Linked DNA regions of Cricetulus griseus. The protein of the gene in region 2 interacts with the protein of the main gene of each other region in a pairwise test. Links are inferred from orthologs where the notes say so. Each region holds a gene or a part of one and is shown on either strand. Other genes may lie near its edges.

Evidence for each region. The genes of interacting proteins can lie anywhere in the genome.
Region 1: the proteins of Gadd45g (region 2) and Lrif1 interact in binary tests that used the Homo sapiens proteins (3 or more experiments, as listed by UniProt). The link is inferred for Cricetulus griseus from reciprocal best matches to the Homo sapiens genes GADD45G and LRIF1.

The regions. Positions count from the first base shown.
Region 1 is NW_023276806.1:50,369,828-50,373,584, reverse strand, and holds the end of Lrif1 (ligand-dependent nuclear receptor-interacting factor 1), read left to right. Parts: intron 1-189; coding exon 190-459; intron 460-2,339; coding exon 2,340-2,774; 3' UTR 2,775-3,526; downstream 3,527-3,757. UniProt on the Homo sapiens protein: Together with SMCHD1, involved in chromosome X inactivation in females by promoting the compaction of heterochromatin.
Region 2 is NC_048596.1:270,787,888-270,791,186, reverse strand, and holds Gadd45g (growth arrest and DNA damage-inducible protein GADD45 gamma), read right to left. Parts: upstream 2,429-3,299; 5' UTR 2,316-2,428; coding exon 2,263-2,315; intron 1,779-2,262; coding exon 1,677-1,778; intron 1,575-1,676; coding exon 1,361-1,574; intron 1,264-1,360; coding exon 1,153-1,263; 3' UTR 643-1,152; downstream 1-642. UniProt on the Homo sapiens protein: Involved in the regulation of growth and apoptosis. Mediates activation of stress-responsive MTK1/MEKK4 MAPKKK.

The DNA.
Region 1 (3,757 bases), on a different chromosome or scaffold from region 2:
ATTGTATGGATAGTTTACATTTGTATTCATTTAAATTCCGTTTTTAAATGGTAAAAATAAATGAAATGCAAATCTTTTAAAGTATTAATCATTCTTTTGTGGAAGAGTTGATAATTGCTTAGTTACTCACCTGACAGAGCAATCCAAGTAATGAGCAATATTGTTTGTGTTTTCTTCTCTTGATTCCAGACCCAGTGTGAGATGGCATCGATGTTAAAAAAAAATACTGAAGAAAGAAATAAGAAATATTCTGAAGGAAGTAATACTAAGGCATCATATCTGAAGAGTGATGCTGAACTTAAAAAGCTATTTGGTCTCACTAAAGATTTGAGAGTGGGTCTTACTCGCATTCCTGACTATCTGGGTTCTAGAAAAGGTTCTGATTCCGTTAGCAGTTTGATGAAGAGTAGCTCTTACAAAGATGCAGAGTTTGTGGTGAAGGAAGAAGAAATAAAACAGGTAATAGTTTTGTTTTTGTTGTTTTTAAGTGTATGACATTTTTGTAGGTGTGACAAAGTTACATGGTTATCTTTTGGTTTTAATGTGCATTAGATTGAATGATTTTTTTTATGAAACTTGTAAATATCTCATACCAAACAGTGACAAAAATCATGCACACAGATAAAAATATATCCCTAGTTAATTTGAGTTCTAAGTATTTTTAGTCACCTTGGTTTTTTTTCCTTTTGTCATGTAAGAAAATAGTCTAGAGAGTTGGTTCAGTAGTTAACAGCACTTGTTGCTCATTCAGAGGTCCCTGATTTAATTCCAGTATCCACATGGTGGTTCACAACCATCTGTAACTCTAGTGGCAAGGGAATCAGACACCCTGGGCACCAGGTAAATACATGCTACACATGCAGCAGGTCAAAAACTCAGAAATTAATAAAATGAGTAAATATCTTTAAAAAGGAAAATAGCAAAAAAGCATTTCAACTAGTTATCCTATTTTAAAGAATTACCTAAAGAAAATAAGTATAAGGGAAAATGTGAGCATGCTGATGTTCATTGAAGTGTTAACACTTAATAAAATTTTTAAAGTTACTTTTCTATAATTTTTTGCAGATATTTTTATTTGAATTAAAAACAAGATTGTTTTACGTGACAATCCCAGTTCCCTCTCCCTCCCATCCTCCCCTGCCCCCCCAACTAAAACCCTACCTATGACATATTCTTTCTGCTCCCCCTGGTGAAGCCTTCCATAGGGTTTCATCAGCCCACCCCTGTGTGTCTTGGCTCAGGGAGTATTCCTCTATGTGGAATGGGCTCCCAAAGTCCACACCTATGCTAGGGATAAGTACTGAACTACTACTGGAGGTGCCATAGATTTCCAAGGTCTCACTGAAACCCATGTTCCTGGGGTCTGGATCAGTCCCATGCTGGTATCCTGCTATCAGTCTGGTGATCAAGAGCTCCCCGATATTCAGGTCAGCTGTTTCTGTGTGTTTCACCAGCCTGGTCTGGACCCCTTTGCTCTTCACTCATCCTTCTCTGCATCTGGATTCCAGTTCAGTTCAGTGATTAGTTGTGGGTGTCTGCTTCTACTTTGACCAGCTGCTGGATGAGAGCTTTCCGGTGGCATATAAGTCAGTCATGAATCTCATCATCAGGGGAGTGCATTTAAGGTAGCCGCTCCTCTGTTGCTTAGATTGTTAGCTGGTGTCATCTTTGTAGCTCTCCAGACATTTCCCTAGTGCCTGATTTCTCTGTAAACCTAAAATGTCTCCCTCTACTATGGTATCTCTATTCTTGTTATCTTCTATTCTTCCCCTGACTCAACCTTTCTGCTCCCTCATGTCCTCCTCACCCTTCCTCTTCTCCCCTTCTCATTCTCCTAGCTCCCCCCCCTTCCCGTGCTCCCAATTTGCTCAGGAGATCTTGTCCCTTTCCCCTTCTCCAGGGGACCATAACACTTAATAAATTTTAAGCAGCATATACAGACAGTAATGCAATGTACTATAATTATGCTTACAAACATTATAATCTAGTATTCTGAACTTCATCCATTTCAGATAAACCTCAAGGAAAAGTTTCTCTATGTGCCTGCTTTGCAAATGAAATAAAAATTTAAACAATTTATCTCAGGTGCTGTTTCAATGATAGGTCAGTTTGGCTTCTAATACCTGGTTTAAACAAGAAAATGAAAATACACTAGCTTGTTTTCTAGAACTATGATTGTGACTTTTTGTTTTAGTACCATGTAGTAGGATCCAGCTTTTACTATAGTTATCCCCAGTAAAATTTGTGAAATCAAATTTAATTGCTATTATTTGCCTAACTTTGATTTGAAAGCATGTGGCATAGCAATAACATTATTTTTTGTCTTATAATTGCAACAGAGTTTTTCTAAGAAAAGAAGAGCAAAAAATATTAAGAAGATGGAATACACAAAAAGGAGAAAAATTAAGAGGGCTAGTGACACAGTCATGAATGGAACAGATGTTGCCAGTTCCCAACTCCTTAGTATTTTACCCACATCAGAAGTACCGCAACATAACATTGTCACAAGCCATAGCACAACCAGGGAAGACAAGAGAACTGAGGTAGAACATTGCTCCCATGAGAAGCAGGACAAAGGCACATTAAGTTCAAGTGTATCTTTTGAACAGAGTAATTGTTTTAATAAAAGCTACACTGAAGACATTTTTCTAGTGACACCACCAGAATTAGAAGAAACCATCAGAGATGAAAAAATAAGAAGACTTAAGCAGATTGTAAAAGAGAAAGAAGCAGCTCTTGAAGAAATGCGTAAGAAGATGCACCAAAAACAGTAAAATGTCTAGGATTTAAAGACTTGTACTACTACAGTAGTTCTCTCTCACCTGCTGGGGATACAGTCAAGACCCCCCCCCCGCCCCAGTGAATACCTGAACTGGAGATGATACCAAATTCTGTATTCTGTATACAAATGATGTAAAATCTTGATGTTTATTCTGATAACTCAACATCTGCTTTAGATAATAACAAGAAAGTAGGATATGCACTTCAGATACACTCAATGAAGAGGATAATTGATATCCTGAATAGGACACTGAAATTTTTTGTCATGCTACTCAGAATGGCATATAATTTAAGAGTTATGAATTCCTCCTTTCTGGAGTTTCTCATTGATATTTTGGACAGCAGATTATCATGGGCGTCAGAAAACAGAAGAGGCAACTGCAGGTTACAGAGGATTACTGTTATTTATAAAGGCACTCTGAAAGTGTCTTTGTATATAAAACTTGAGTACAGAAAAGGTTGAGTCATTTGACTCATTGAAAATCTATATGACATATTTTGACTCACTTGTTTTGGAAGAAAATTTTTGGTATTTTTCTGTGAAATGAAATTCCCCAAGTTTGAATATTTTGTACAAAATTTCTGTTAATGTTATATCTTCTACTAAATTCCTCAGGTCTTACACTAACAAATATTGTGTACTAAAAGTCTACAATCCAAGATAGTCAGCTGTAAGCTTAACTTTACCATTGAGTTTCTATGTGTACTGTCTTGATCTTCTTACCTATAAAAATGATACAACCTATTCACTGTTGTTGCTATTTTTTCCATCAAGAAAATCTATTAAAATTTATTTACTCAAATATTTTTCGACATGAAGGGCAGATGCTTTTTGCATGTCTGCAATATTATATATTCCAAAAAGTTTGAAGTTTAGGCTATTTAATGATATTTTATCTTTGGCTTGCAAATTATGCCTTATGAAGCTAGAGAGGTAATTCAGCAGTTAAGAGCACTTGCTGTTTTCTAGGATCCA
Region 2 (3,299 bases):
CTAGCAGATGCCCACCCCACTCAGCCTGGCTCACGCCTATTTGTGTGGGACTGTGCCTCCAACTTCTGCTAAGATACTGCTAAGATTTCCATCACGGCCGTGACAAAATGATGATTCACACTTAAAACGCAGTCGTTGGTGTCATATTTGATATTAATACTTTAGTAGCGCTGCTTTGCCAGAGCAATTAAAAGGAGAAAGTTCCTGAAAGCAAGAGCAGTCCACCCCTATCCACAGGCACCACCGAGGGCAGAGTTGCAGAAGGCAGCTCATTGTATTGGAAGGCGCAGGGCCTCCCGCAAGCGGTTCAGATAAGCAGCTGTCGGAGGCAAGGGGGGGAGGGGAGAAACTGGAAGCAGAAGTCACTGTTATCGGATTGGATTGCAAGCCTTGCGCTCCTGCGCCGGGATGCCTTATCTCAAGTATGCCCCCGTCTTGCAAGTTAAAAATCTTCCTGGAAGGATAAAACAGTACTCGGGCCCCAAGTCCTCCCCCTTACTTCTCGCCACCATCCCCTCCCCCACTGCCAGCCCCAGCAGGCTGTAATTTCTTGCCCAACAGAAAGGTGGTTACAGGTGCCATAAGCTCCATCAACCACCAGAAACACCCTTTACCACCTCCCCCGAGATAGGAATCCCCTGCCCTCAATAAAAGGCGGAAGTTTGTTTCAATGAGTTTATTGTGAAATTCAAAGCTTCCACGATAGCGTCCTTTAGAAAATGAAAGCATTGCCCGGGATCCCTTTTGGGAAAGAGCGGTGCAGCCTGCGAAGTCCGGCTCGCTCCTGCAGCTGGCCACTCCTGTAGCTGTACCAAGTCCAGGCCGCCTGCCTTGCTTTTCCTCTCGTTTCACTGGAAGGCTGCTGAGTCACGCCTGCCTCACTAGTCGGTTCTTCCCGGCCCTGCGGCCAACGTCCCTGCCTAGGCCTTCCTGTGCTAGCAGCCTCTCTGGACAGTGGCAGAGTCCTGGGCTCGGAACAAGGTGTCCCCGCCGCCGCCAGGCCCCCTTCTTGGGAGGCTGCGCTCCTCGCTCTCCAGGCAACACCGCCTGCCAGTCTCCATGCGCACTCGAGCGCCCTCGGAGGGCCACTCCAGAGCCAGCAGCGCGCTAGAGCGTCACCAAGTCGATCAGATCAAGGTCCCTGCCGGGCTGTCACTCGGGAAGTGTAATGCTGGGCACCCAGTCGTTGAAGCTGCGGCTTTCCTCGCAGAACACGCTGAGTTTCTCCAAAGCAGGGTCCTTCCACGTGTCCTCATTAGGATTCTGTATTAAAAAAAAAAAAATTCAGGGGTGAGCCAGGCTGGCCGATGGCCAAAACGGGTGGGGGAAACCGGCGTGGGGAGGCAACAGCAGCACTCACCGAAATGAGTATGCAGTGCAGGTCCCCCGGCGCGCCCGCCTCGTCGTCCGCACCCACGATCGCCGCTAGCCGCTGAACATCACCCACGCGCACGATGTCAATGTCGTTCTCACAGCAGAACGCCTGGATCAGCGTGAAATGGATCTGCAGCGCTATGTCGCCCTCATCTTCTTCATCGGCAGCCAGCACGCAAAAGGTCACATTGTCAGGGTCCCTGCAGAGCAGATGGGAAGAACAAGGTCAGAGCCGATGCCACCCCCAGGTCTCCCAGCCGCGCCAAACCCAATCCCTGCACGCAGGGCCTGTCCATACTCACACATTCAGGACTTTGGCGGACTCGTAGACGCCAGCGGTCAGACAGCCCTGGCGCTGCGCCGACAGCAGAAGTTCGTGCAGCGCTTTCCCGGCGCCCTGCATCCTGTAAGAGAACAAGCACGGTGAGTGGGGACCAGCACGAGGACGCGGCGGAGATCCCAGCCCTGACCTCCAGGTCCCAGCTGGCTCCTTAGCCTAGACCTGCCTGGCGCCAGCATTCCTGCCTCCCAACTCCAACCTGGCGCCCACACACCCGGATCCCCAGTCCCGACTTGGCGCCCACACCTCTGGCACCCTAGTCATGATCTGGCGCCCTCATTCCCCATCACCTAGTCTCGCCCCGGCGCCTGCACCCCCGGTTCCCTACTCCTGATCTGGAGCCCATAGCCCAGGCTCCCCAATCCGGACCCGGTGCCAGAATCCCAGTCTCTAGCTCTAGGAATGAATCGGACGGAGTAATTGTGGCCCCACCGCCTCGGCACCTCGCTGTCAGGCAGGGCACGGCTCCCACCCCACAAACTTCCACCCTAGAAGACCCTGAAAGATCTCTACCCGACAAGTCCAACCCTCGCCACCCCAAAACCTACCTGGCTGTGCTTTCCGGAACTGTATCCTGGCCACGGACTTCTTCCAGAGTCATTGTACGATCCACGGGCAGCAAGTTATCCAAAAGTGAGGAGTGTGGAGGGAACCGAGGGATCCCGAGCGCAGGTAAGGAGCCCCAGAACCCGACCCGCGCGCCCACCACCAGCGAGTGCGCCAGGCACCGCGGCGAGCGCCCTTTTATAGACGGGCCCCGCGCGACGCCGCCAGCTGGCGGGAGGCTGCGCTCCCATTGGCCAGCGCCCGCTTTCTGATGCAAATGAGGCGGCAGGCCCGCGGCTCGTGCCAGAAGGCCACGTGGGGAGGGGTGCGGGGGATGACACAGCCTCAAATCTGCCGCTTTTGTCAGGGTGTTACCAGGCAGACTGGAGCCTGCAGATTTCATCTCGTTTTCTTTTTTGTAAGTCCTTAAAAGGAAAAAGTTAAAAAAAAAAACCAACAACGTTGTTTGCTAATATGATACTGGAATTTGTGAAATGCACGCTTGGAGAATGTAAAAAGCCTTTTTTTGCATTTATTTTTATTGCGACCTTTCTAATTTTTTTTTTAATTTCCAAATTGAGGTTTATGGGGCTGTTGCATTGAAACCGAAACTTAAAAAGTCAAAGGTTTGCAACTGCAGCTGACACCAGGCCAAGGTCGCCTCTAGAACTCAGGACTCAGCGCCTTTCAGGGTCGCGGCTGCAAGGTCTGCGCCGCCCTCCCCCACACCCACACCCCGGCCCCTGTCCCGTCCCGTCCCCCACCCCTGCCCCTGCCCCTGCCCCTGGCAGATCGCTGTGGGGCGCGGGCAGCAGGGACCAGCAGATTGCTGCCGGCACACGCGGCTCGTTTGCATTTCTATACGGGGCACACAAAAGAGGAGGTCTGGCGTGTGGCAGTTCGCAGTGGGGACAATCGACGCTTTCTCTTTCATAGCAACACTGTCCACCTGCCGCCGGGTGGGGTGGGCAGAGCCCCGCCGCGCGCGGGGGTCGCGGGGTTGCCCGGCACGTGGGGGTCTGAGCCGCGTGCCGCTCCC